Linked DNA regions of Callithrix jacchus. The protein of the gene in region 1 interacts with the protein of each later gene in a pairwise test. Links are inferred from orthologs where the notes say so. Each region holds a gene or a part of one and is shown on either strand. Other genes may lie near its edges.

Region 1 (4,279 bases):
AAGGCTCAAGTCATTGTGTGGAGAACAGAGTGTGGTGGGTCTCCCCAGGCAAAGATCCCCCCACCTCACCACACTCCCTGCTGACCTCCTCCTGCTGTGGGTTCCTCCTCGATGTCCAGAGGACTCAGCCGGGTGTGCTGCAGGTGCCTGTAGTGAAAAGGCCAACGTCAGGAGGCAGGGCCTGACACCTGAGGACACTGACAAGCCCTCCAGGCAAAAGTCAGGAGACTGCCCCACTGCTCACTCAGGGCTATGTGGGCTCAGGTCACCTGGCACCCTCCTTGCTGGAATGGAAGTGAAGGCTGGCTGCAGGAGAGGTGGAGTGGCCGTGTTTCTCAGGAAATGCCTGACAGAGGAGAAAGATGGCCGGAGCTCTGCGCAATGAAATGAGTGGTGGGTGTGGAGATTGTGTGAGAAACTGCAGTGTTGCCATGGATACAGAGCATACCATGGACCATGGGTTGCTATTGTATGGTAGTGTCATGTGGTGAGGCTAAGGCCCTTGAGAAGCAACAGGTGATGTCATCGGTCTTCATCCAATACAGCATCCTAGCAACAAGGAGGGTAGGTGAGGAAAGGGGAGGTAGGCATGAGGAGTGAGTGCTCAAAGAAGGACAGGAGTTCATGGTTTAAATTGTGTGGAAGGTGAAATCGGGCAGAAAAGGGACGCAGATAAGGTCCCTACTGCCAGACTGCAGGAAACGAACAACTCTTGCCCTAGCGATGGCCCTATCCTGCAGAGTTTGCGAACCCTGCAGTGAGTCCTGTCTCCTCACTCTTTGCCAAGGTTCCAGAGTCCCTCCCACCAGAGCCCACCTCACAGCTGCTCACCTTGCTGGGCTGGCTCTGCTAGCAGCGTGGAAGCTGCAATAACAGCCACTTCACACTTGCTGCGCTCTTCAGCTCTGTCCAGTTAGGCAGCTACTGAGTTAGCAGTGACGGGTCTTGCTTCTCTGGATCTGTCCAAGGCAAAGCAGAGGTATTTTGTTGTGATTGTGTCCCACACACACGTCTCTGCTCAGGCCACGGCAGTTGTGATTCTGCAAAGGTGTCCAGTAGTACTCTGGCGCAGCCACAGAAGAAACTGCTCAACTGGCAGAGGGAGGAGGAGGGAGGAAGGGGGAGGGGTGCGGAAAGAGGGAGTATGGGAAGGAATGGTGAGGGAGGTGGAGGGTGGGGGCTGGTGGGGGCTGCTGATAGGACAGAAGGGATCGTAGGATAAGGTTGTTGTCCCACCCCCACTGCAAACTCTACTCGCTCCAAAGCTCCGCCCCTGCAGCCATGTTGTCCGAAGCTCCGCCCCTGCAGCCATGTTGATCGGAAGCTACGGCATTGCAGCCATGTTGCATCGCTTAGCTACCTCACCATAACCACCACACGTTGCCAAGGTCCACGTGCGTACACCTAAGATCCACCTCTACCGCAATCCCAACCAGCACGAAATCCAACCCATTTCCCCACCCACGTCTAACTCGTGCTTCAACCCTGCCCCCACCCACGTCTGTTACCTCAACCCTGCCCCCACTCACAGTTGAACTCGTGCCTCAACCCTCCCCCCACCCATGTCTAACTCCTACCTCAACCCTGCCCCCACCCACAGTGGAACTCGTGCCTCAACCCTGCCCCCACCGACGTACAACTCGTGCCTCCAGCCTGCCCCCACTCGCAGTCGAACTCGTGCATCAAACCTCCCCCACACATGTCTAACTCCTACCTCAACCCTGCCCCCAACCACAGTCGAACTCGTGCCTCAACCCTGCCCCCACCGACGTCTAACTCGTGCCTCAACTCTGCCCCCACTGGCAGTCGAACTCGTGCATCAAACCTCCCCCACACATGTCTAACTCCTTTCTCAGCCCTGCCCCCACGCACAGTCGAACTCGTGCCTCAACCCTCCCCCCACCCATGTCTAACTCCTACCTCAACCCTGCCCCCACACGCAGTCAAAGTCGTGCATCATCCGTGCCCCAATGTCTAACTCCTACCTCAATCCTGCAGGCACCCACAGTCGAACTCGTGCCTCAACCCTGCCCCCACCCATGTCTAAGTCGTAACTCAATCCTGCCCGCACCCAGAGTCAAATCCGTACCGCAATGAGTGACCACTCACGAAGCCCAACTACTTACGCCATACAAGTCTAACCCCCTGTACCGAAATCCAGTACGTCCGTTCCCGTTTCCCTCCATCTCTACCCTGTTATCTACATAAACCAACTACCAGCACCAGTGGAAGGCGGCAGGATCTAGGAGAGAAGATCCGAAGCCGCTCTTCTGCACGGACAAGGGTCAAGAGTTGAGGGTGGAACAGGCCTCCAGAAAGTATTTTTTAATTTGTTTCTTTTTGAGACGAATAGTCTCCCTTTGCTGTCCACGCTGGAGTGCAGCAGGCATGATTTCGGCTCAGCATAACCTCCGCCTCCAGGGTTCAACCTATTCTCCTGCGTCACTGTCCTGAATAAATGGAATTACAGGTCCCCAACACTATGCCCGGCTAATTTTGGTATTTTTAGTAGAGACGGAGTTTCACCATCTTGGGTAGGCTATACCTCCTCACCTAAAGTGATACACCCGTCTCGGCCTGCCCAGCCTAAGGTCTCCCAGAAGTTCTGCCTGGAAAACTATGGATAGCAACTCCTAGGCCCTGTGGAAAATAGCAAGTTATTGGCGATATACCCCCTAATCTAGGTTGCTTTGTATGACCAGGCCCAGCTCCGTACCTGTCAGAAAGGCCTGTAAGCTGGAGTGATCGCGCAGCGCGACCACCACACGTCTAAGGCGGCTGCCGCCTCTGTGCCGAATGCGCCTCCAGGCTATGACAGGAAGAGGTTGTCTGGTAACGCCTCCCCGCCCAGCGGAAGTGCACACGGCCCACTCACAGTTGCGCACTAGTGACATAAAGCATTCTATTTCCCGCGCCAAGCAACTCCTCACCCCCACCCCACCAGTTCGAGCCCGCACTTTTGAGAACATACAATACAAACAGCTGGCAGCCATTTCCATTACAGACTAGATGCCTGTACTTTACTGGCTGGACAACGGTAGCACCAGTCTCTTCATACACGCCACATGTACCCAATAGGCCACATGACTACACGTACTACCTCAACATCACAGATCCTGTTAAAGGCTGTGGCGGGAAGAGGTTTTTGGGTGATGACCCCCACCCTAGCAAAACTTCACACGGCTCTTTCACATTTGTGCAGTGGCCACATAAACCTTCCTACTTCCCTATCAAGAATTCCTTACCCCACCCCAACCCTTGCCAGACTGTGCCGGCCTGCGCCAACCTTCACCTTTGAGGAAATACAATACAAACAGTTGGGAACTACTTCCATTGCATACTAGCTCGGAAGTCTATAGTTTACTGACTGGACGATGGCGGCAGCTATTCTCCCCACTTGCCACGTCACCCAGCAGTCATTCTGTTTCTTTCCCGTGGGAGGGGAGCTATGCCGTACCAAGCCGTGTGTGAAGGGCCAGGTGCAAATCACCGAGTACAACATATAAGCCATGTGTAACAAATAGGCCAAGTGAGCGTGTGTACTACCTGAAAGTCACACACCCCTTTTCAACCTGACGCGGGAAGAGGCTATCGGGTGATGACCGCCCCCTCCCCCACTGTAACTCCACACAGCCCACTCACAGTTCCTCACCTATGACACAAACCCTCCTACTTCCCATGCGACGGGTCCTCACCACCCCACTACCACCCGTGCGAGCCTGTGCCAGCCCGCACCTTTTAGAACAGACAATAAAAACAACTGGGTGCCACTTCCATTGCAGACTACCTCCCACGCCTGTAGTTTACTAGCTAGACGACGGTGGCACCCAGGCTCTTCATTTACCATGTGTCCCAGCAGCCATTGTGGTTCTTTTCCACTGGAGGGGAGCTGTGGTGTCCCAAGCAGTGTCTGAAGGACCTGGTTCACATCACTGGGTGCAGCATATAGGCCACGTATAATGAATAGGGGGTGTGAGCCTACTTACTACCTGAAACTCATAGCACCTGTGTATTTTTTATTGGACTGCGTTCTGGGGTAGGAAGGTAAAAAATACAGCTACGGCCTGCATTTCACAAGGCCATAATTTTTTTTTTCTGCTTACTTAGAGCCAGATGACTGAAAATACTCTATTCTCCCATTATTCTCCTGATTTCACGGCCTACTTCAAGATGCACACAAATACCCTGGCAATCTTTAAAAAATGCAAGTTCTCAGTGAGGAGGCCTAGTGCAGGACTGATTCTGCTGAAAGCCGGGTGACTTGCTGCCTACCCCTGCC
Region 2 (4,300 bases), on another chromosome or scaffold:
TAAATTTACTCAACAATCCTGAAACTGATGTTTGCTTCACACTTTCTTCTTCCTCCTCTATCCCTAAGCAGGTTCAAGTAGCAAAATTTTTCCTTTCTTAGGGATACTACTATGATATTATTCTAATATAATATATTATTTTCAAAACCTATTATTATAATGAATAAATACTATATGCAAGGCCTTGTGCTAAGTGCTCTATATATATTATCTCTTTCAATCTTCACTGTGATGACTCATGTATTGTTTTCATTTCCATTTTACAAATGTACTTATTTTACAAATAAGGAAAAATCCTAGGCTTAGGACACACATTTAGCAAACGATATAAAGTGGAGATAAAAAGCCAGGGCTGTCTCCATAGCTTACGCTAATAAACTGAAGGAGTATTTTCTTAGCTTTCTCTTCTTAAAAGACTGAAGTTCACATGCTATTTGGAATAAATATGCAGAAAAGGCGCACAGGAAGTGGTGTAGAAAGAAGCACTATAATTTATCAAGATAAGAGCACCTGCACTGCTTTTTTAGAACAAGGAAAAAACCTGCAATCATATAAAACCCTCAAGTCTTTTCTACCCTGTTATTGCTAAAATGGACAAGTTGGTCAGGCACCAGCTACGGACGGTAGTAAATAAAGCACTTTGGTTCAGTGTTGGGGAGGGCATTATGCAACACTTCCCAGCACAGCCCTGGCCAGAATATTTTACGGCCAAGGCACTTGCCCCCCCCACCCCACCCACCCCCCGCTAGACAGCCTGGCTCCTTCACATTCCCCTCAGGAGATAGGGTGGAAGCTCACAGCTCCACTTTGTAAGGCATAGAGGGCAGCTGAAAGTCCTGCTTGGCCTCTCTGGGCAACCACAGGCGCCAATAAATCAGCCACAGGCGATTCTCATTCCCTTCCCGGCTGAAGCAGGAGCAAGGCATAATGCAAAAGAGCACTGATTGGACTTGAGAGATAAGTGATCTTAAATTCTACTGCAAATGACTACATCACCACAGCCAGGTAATAAGCCTGTTTCTTCAGGCTAGTAACATGAAGACAGTACCATCTCCTTTTTGGTAAAGATACAAAGTTCATCTATGAAAGCGGCTAGTATGAGACTTGGCCCACTGCAACTACTCAGTAAACGGCGGCCCAACTTGGGCAGAATCCATCTCTACTACATGCAAATAAGACATTCCAGGAAGACTGGACAAAAATGGTGTTAACAGGTTATGCGGTCCCTCTCTGCTTTCTTCCCGACCGTACCTTGGTATTTCACTGATTCCCAGCTCTCAGAACTAATCTAGTCCCTGTTCTATCCCATCAGTTTCTTATTAAGAAGCTGATGTCCGATCATGGATTCATGATTTATCCTTAACTAAAATATATCCAGATTGTTAAAGAAGACTTTGATGCCTTAACATAAGGAAGCAACCAAGACTGTAAATGATCATCATTATTCTTGCAGAGAATAGCAATGAAATTTTGAGGAGGGGGGGTGCCTGCAGGCTTTTAGCTCCAAAAATACACCATAAGCGGCCTACCTCACCTAGAAATACTATCAACCCCACTATTCCAGAGCCATCACAGTGGCCATGCCTGATTTCTCCATGACCTGAATCAACCCAAGTATAATGACCTCCGGCAGATACACTCTCTACAGGTGAGTGGGTTAAACTGGCACTGCAGTCCTGGCATGGTGGAGAGTGCAATCACCAAGGTGTCTGGAGTCTTGGAGTCTAGCTATTGAGAAGTGTAGCTAGCTCCAGCTACATCATGCTCTTCAGGCCTGGTGTCTTCTCTGTAAAACGAGAGGAATGAAACAGATTTTATAAGGCACCACCTCTCGGCTCTAAAATTTGAGATACCAAAGTGTACTTTACCCACTCGACAGAATCTTGTGAGAGAATCAACAGCTCTGTCATAAGGACTTGAGTCTCAAGAGAAAGAATGCTACATTTAATCCCTTAGGGAGATCCAGGCGCTAACTGTGGAAACGTGCTAGGTGCTATCAGGTTCCAGGTACTAGGTTGCCTTATGCGCTGCCTCCGCAACTGATAACACCTGATTACTCCAAATAATGAGTGCCAGAGAAGGCTATGATAAGATGGAGCAAGTTTCAAAAAGAAAAACTGCATCTGCTTAAAACGAGACAAACATAATTTGAAGATAAAAAAGAAATCAATTATGAGGGCCGGGGCGGAGAGTCTTCTTGCCCTAGAAACTAGGTAATCACAAGCTGGGAGTGGTAACAGTAGCCGCAGGGTCCTCGCAGCATCTGGAAAGTCGCCCACTCGTAAGAGGGGTCGGCACCAGCCGGGAGACGGCGCAGGCCTATTGGGGGTTCCTGCTGGGGGTCGCACCCGGACCCATAGCGGGGACGGCTCCGCGCCTTCGCAGCACCCCGTGCGCCACCCAGAATCAGGCCCGGGCGGCTGCTCCTAGGAGCAGCGAAGGGTGGCTCTGGGCATCGTCGGCCCTACGCTCACTTGCGGTGCTATTTTCCTCCTGTGCCCTGCCTGACATCTCAATCGGACCAAAAACACCCCTCTCCCCAGCTACTTGCATCTGTCCGCGACCGGTGAGGCTGCAGGCCGCCGCCCTGGGCGGCTCGCGGCGGGAGGGACTGAACCCAGGGCAGCCCACAGGGGCTGGGCCGCGTCGCTTACCCAGACGCCGCCGCGGCGGCAGGCCGACGCCTCCGTGCAGGAGGGGCGGGCTCCCACGCCACGCACGGCAAGCGATTGCACCGGCTCACGCACCCCCGCGGGCCGCTCTCGCGCGGCTTCCCGCGCCAGCAGCCCGCGATAGCCTCACGTGACCGCGTGCCTGGTTACAGGGGAACTAGGGGCGCTGGGGCCAGGCTGTGCGTGCGTGCGTGCGTGCATACGTGCGCGCCCTCCCGCCCGCCAGAGTGGCCGGGCGGGGGTCTGCCTGCGTTCTGAGCGCAGCAGCTACAGTTCGCAGTCGTGACTCTAGGCGGAAGCGTAGGGACAAGTCTGAGCGTCAGAGGCTCCCCACAAACAACCGCGTGACCCGGGGACTTTCCCCAGGGTGTGCAAAAGCACAGACACCCCCTCAGTTCTGGGGTGAAGGTGGGGGTGGGGAAGGATGCGCCCGCGTGTTCGCTGGGGAAGGGATGAGGGCGCCGGGCCAGAGAGGGCGAGCCGCGGGAGCCTGGGTGGAGAGGCGGGCTAGGCGAGGTGGGGCTTGGCGGGGGAAGTGAGTCAGGGCCAGAGGCGGACAGGCCCGCGGATGGTGGGGTGAGGGAGCGCGGGGACTGAGCGACCCTGATCCGACGGGACAGGGTGAGGTTGCCGGAGCACCCGAGGCGGACCGCGAGGGACGGCCCAGCGGTTGGGCCCAACAGGGCAGGGGTCTGACATCTGGACGGAGTGGGAAAGCAGCTTCGCATCCTGCCCTGGGGAGTCGGGAGGAGCCCAGTCCCATCCAGCTGTGCAAACAGGAGGAGGAGCAGGAGGTCCCAAGCCTAACCTTGGGAGAGGGGCGAGAGGGGTGGTCAAGCCGCCGTCGCCGCGACGGGCCCCTGCGGTGCGGGTTGCGCCAGCCTCCTAGGAGCCCGACGCAGAAACTTGTTGCAACAAACAGGCGACCGCGGGTGCCCCTAGCAGCCAGCGGCAGAGTGGGTGGGCGGGCGAGAGGGAGGGGAAGGCTGGCGGACGCCGCAGCGAACTGGTGGGCAGACCCGGAGTCGCCGCGTAAGCGGGGCCGGCTCAGTGCGGTGCGGCAGGCGCGGCTGTGCGGCAGCGGAAGTCCTTTGTTGCAGCACAGTCCCTGGCAGAGCCAGAGCCTCTCCGCGCAGCCCAGCTCGAGCGCCGAGCGCCGCCGCCACTGCAGCTCGCGGCCCCTTCGCCTCCGCCCGCCTTTTCCGCGACTGATTTGCCTTAAACTCCCTAAAATCTCCGCAGCTCTGGTTCCTGCTGCGGCTGGTAAGTATTTGCTAGTTGTGGGGCTATTCGCGCAACTTTGGCCCGGGCCGGAGGGCGATGAGCCGTGGGCCTGGCGGAGTGCGGGGCCAGAGCGGCGCCGACCCGTGCGGGGAGCCGGAGCGCGGCGGACGCGCTGCGAGGATCAGGCGACAGGCGGCTGCCAGGCCGCCTGCTTGCTGCTGGCGCGTCAGGTCCCGGGCTTGCGGCCTTCCCGAGTCGGAGGAGAAGCCCCTATGGAGACTAGTTCCCAAATTAGTTACCTTCTTTTCTTTCTTTCTCTGCCTTTATTTTTTTCGAGGGGGGAGGGGAGGTGTAGACGGGAGGCGGGAGAACGCGGTTGATTGACGTGCCCAGAGCCCGCTTCT
Region 3 (4,011 bases), on another chromosome or scaffold:
AAGAAGCGCCAGAGAAAGGCAGGTAAAATGATTAAAAGAATAGAGGGGTGACTGGGAGCTGGAGGACATATAAAGAAGGTCCTTCTTTGGCTGGGGCCAGGGTTCAGGTCCTTAAGCATTCTCCAATGTGTGGAAGGACCCATGGGATCAGGTCTTCAAGTATTCTCCAATATTTGGACTTACATGTGGTAGCTGTGAATGGGGGGTGGGTGAGGGGGTGGGGGACACGCAGCCCACCTCAACAGTCCTTGAATGGGACAAAAACCACTCTAGACTGGTGCCTGCTTTCTCTCCCCAAATCACCACGGAATACAACCATAGAAACTCAAAAACAGTAAAAAACACCGACAAGATATTTTAAATGCTAATATTAAATCTCATTGTGAAAATTAGATTGAAAATAAATCCAAGGATGCAAGATTTATAATAGATTAACAAGGGAAATTAAGGATGTTGGTGGGTGAGGAGGAGATGTATCCTTAACTTTGTGATTCACACGATGGAGCTATACTGTGTCCTTCAGAGAAATGGTACTTGGTAATCTGAGTTGGACGGCTATCATAAACCATTTCCTATACACTGTTAGCATAGTCAGAAAGTGAGAGTTATGAATTGACATCGGGATTAGATAATTTGAATTTTTCACCCACAGCACAATTCCTTCCATCGTTTTCAATAAACAGAGCGAGAGGGAGACTCTGATGAACTGTTGCTCACGTGCTGAACCGTTAGCAACCCCGGGCTATCGGATCCCTGATGACCTTCCTTCAGAAAAACGAACGGACATCTAAACGGAACGAGGAAGGGGAGGGTAAATAACCAGAGTGTCCCTGAGTTGAGAGATGTTAAAAATGGAACACAATCAACACATGGGCCCTTACTTTTAGGTTAAAGATTCCTATACATAAATACATCTCGCCCTTGCCAAAAAATATTAGATTCAGGAAATTCATTCCTCACGAAGAAAATAATCCCCTCTCTTCCATTCCTTAGGTCCCTTACTTTACCTGCTTCTTTCCTCTCGAGGGCAGGAACTTTGAGCCCCGCCTCTCTGCTCCTTCAAGCTCCGCCTTCCCCGTCCACCTGTATGCCCTGCCCCTGACGTTACCCGTTGGCTTCAGTGGCTTGCAGGATTCCGGCTTCTGATTGGCCGGCCCGGCCACGGCTTGCGCAGCCCACCAATGGCAGCGGCGCTGGGTGGAGGGGTGCCCAAATCCAAGATGGCGTCCCCAGGAGCTGGGAGTGGGTGACCGGCAGCGGGGAAGCGGCCTGGGTTGGCCCTCAGATTGCGGGGTCTGGGGGCATCTCTCCAGGCAACCCCCCTGGCCCGCCTACAAGGCCTTCCCCCGGCCAGAGCAATGGCCGCTGAGAACAGCAAGCAGTTTTGGAAGAGGAGCGCTAAGCTGCCGGGGAGGTGAGCCCAGGACGCTGAGAGGGAAAGGGGATTGGACCAAACCCTTCCAGATCCTAATCCCTAATCCCGCGGGCCTGGGGCGCCACCGAGGCCGGAAGACTGGTTTGGGGAAGCCAGGCGGGGAAAACTGGGGCTGCCTGGTGGCTGCAGAGCAGCTGTCAGGCAGAGGAGAGAACAGCGAGCTTTGGGGACGGCTGGATGTGGGTGTAGACCGGGGTCTGGGGGCGGAGGTTTCAGGAGGGGTGACCTCAGCTGGAAGGTGGCCGAAGATTGGGCGTAACCCGCAGTGGAGTTGGGAGATAAGTCAGTGTCGGCCCTGGTCTCGGAGGTTCATCCCCAGAGCTGCTTCCCACTCTAATCAGAACTCCCTCTCAGTGGTCTCCACCACGCACAGGTGGTTGCTTGCTTGAGGATGGCCCCTTCCCTTGTTCCCCTAGCTGGACAATTACCCGAAGGATTCTGGTGTGAGTTTGTGGCTTCTTGCCGAGAGGGTTAGGTAAGAAAAGTGAGGACAATTCTCAAGCCTGACCTTACTTTATCTTGAGTTGGCCCTTTCCCACTAGGAATTAATACAAGGCGACCACAGAATCAGGGTTATTCCTTTGGCATTTTCTAAGGATTTGTCCAACCCCAAGTGACTTCTTCCTTCCTTGCATTGTAATGCTCTTCTTGTGCAAATGTACTAAATTCTTTCATTCTTCAGTTGTTTCGCTGGAGAGCAGACCTCCTCAGACTACCCCCCACCCCTTTTTTGGTGTATGTTGAGACTTTTAGCAAATTACCCATCCATCAATCTATTGGTTTACTGTTTCAGTTTATTTTGGGGAGAGTCCTGAGAAGTATAAAGTAGAGTGTGTATTTCAGTCGTGAATTTAAGATTTCTGCCAGCCACAGTCTACTTGGTGATGAAATTCATGTTTGGTTGTGCCCCACGTGCTACCTTTTCTAGTGGATTCAGGTTTTTTCCTTGTGAGATCATCTTTTGAACTCGTGATTTTTTTTTGAGACGGAGTGTCTCTGTTGTCCAGGCTGGAGTGCAGTGGTGTGATCTCAGCTCACTGCAGCCTCAAGCGATTCTCCTGCCTTAGCCTTCTGGATAGCTGGGACTACAGATGCGCGCCACCATGCCTGGCACATTTTTGTATTTTCAGTAGAGACGAGGTTTCACCATATTGGCCAGGCTGGTCTCGAACTCCTGACCTTGTGATCCGCCCACCTCAGCCTCCCAAAGTGCTGGGATTACAGGTGTGGGCCACTGTGTCCAGCAGACTTTATTTATTTATTTATTTATTTTTAAGCAAGAGAGAAATGTGGGTCAATAGTGGCTAGATAAGAGCCTTAATTTTTTCTTTTTTTAATGAAATAGAGACAAAGTCTCACTCACAATGTTGCCAGGGCTAGTCTGTAACTCCTGGCCTCAAGTGATCCTCTTACCTTGGCCTCTCAAAGTGTTGGGATTTCAGGTGTTAGCCACCATGCCCCAGCAAGTCTTATTTTATTAAGGATCCTATTAGACATATGGAGAATAGGGTGGAAATCAGCTTTTAGTAATATTTATTAAAATAATAGGAATGCAAAGATAACTTCAGATTAAAGTGCTGTGGATTTACAGTGTTAATATTACTGTTAAAGATGTTCTATGTCTTTAGGTAAGCACCACTTCCTGCCAGCTGATTCGTTTTCCTTCCTGGTCTAGTGAGCTCTCTGGTTGTGCTGACTGCTATTCTCTGGGATTTTCCATAGTGAGATCATTAAATTTTGACATCCTAAGATTATAATCAGAATCAATAGGAAAACTTGTATCAGGAAGCAGTGTAAGAGATGTGCGACATGGCATGGCCTTCTCTGCCTTCTGACTGGTGGTTGCTATTAACAGTCTTTTTTCCCCATATCTCCTGTGTTTGACTATAGAAGAGTCAACATTTTAAAAGCACTACTTTTCTGAGATAGGAAGAGAAGTCTTTTCAGTTTCCTCAAGTTTCTGGATTCCCTTTTCATTTTGAAGAATATGGAGAAATTGAGAGAGGGCCGGGAACAATGCCTCACACCTGTAATCCCAGCACTTTAGGAGGCTGAGGCGGGCAAATCACGAGGTCAGGAGTTTGAGACCATCCTAGCCAACATAGTGAAACGCCGTCTCTACTAAAAATACAAAAATTAGCTGGGTGTGGTGGCGCTGTAGTCCCAGCTACTCGGGAGGCTGAGGCAGGAGAACAGCTTGAACCTGGGAGGTGGACATTGCAGTGAGCCGAGATCATGCCACTTCACTCCAGCCCGGTGACAAAGGGAGACTCCATCTCTAAATAAATAAATAGACAAAGCAAGACTCCATCTCTAAATAAATAAATAAATAAGTACATAGAAATAGAGAACTTTTGCCGGGCACGGTAGCTCACGCCTGTAATCCCTGCACTTTGGGAGGCTGAGGCGGGCAGATCACGAGGTTAAGAGATCAAGACCATCCTGGCCAACCTGGCCAAACCCCGGCTCTACTAAAAATACAAAAATTAGCTGGGTGTGCTGGCGTGCACCTGTAGTCCCAGCTACTTGGGAAGCTGAGGCAGGAGAATTGCTTGAACCCGGGAATTGGAGGTTGC

What was found.
Region 2: the proteins of PNMA5 (region 1) and ZBTB25 interact in binary tests that used the Homo sapiens proteins (3 or more experiments, as listed by UniProt). The two-hybrid records come from large-scale screens. The link is inferred for Callithrix jacchus from reciprocal best matches to the Homo sapiens genes PNMA5 and ZBTB25.
Region 3: the proteins of PNMA5 (region 1) and TBC1D22B interact in binary tests that used the Homo sapiens proteins (3 or more experiments, as listed by UniProt). The link is inferred for Callithrix jacchus from reciprocal best matches to the Homo sapiens genes PNMA5 and TBC1D22B.

What each region holds. Positions count from the first base shown.
Region 1 is NC_133524.1:149,111,165-149,115,443, forward strand, and holds the start of PNMA5 (paraneoplastic antigen-like protein 5), read right to left. Parts: upstream 2,801-4,279; 5' UTR 2,717-2,800; intron 960-2,716; 5' UTR 832-959; intron 389-831; exon of another isoform or gene 245-388; intron 148-244; 5' UTR 86-147; intron 1-85.
Region 2 is NC_133509.1:99,156,250-99,160,549, forward strand, and holds the start of ZBTB25 (zinc finger and BTB domain-containing protein 25), read right to left. Parts: upstream 2,801-4,300; 5' UTR 2,655-2,800; intron 2,653-2,654; exon of another isoform or gene 1-2,652. UniProt on the Homo sapiens protein: May be involved in transcriptional regulation.
Region 3 is NC_133505.1:45,599,969-45,603,979, forward strand, and holds the start of TBC1D22B (TBC1 domain family member 22B), read left to right. Parts: upstream 1-1,211; 5' UTR 1,212-1,358; coding exon 1,359-1,414; intron 1,415-4,011. UniProt on the Homo sapiens protein: May act as a GTPase-activating protein for Rab family protein(s).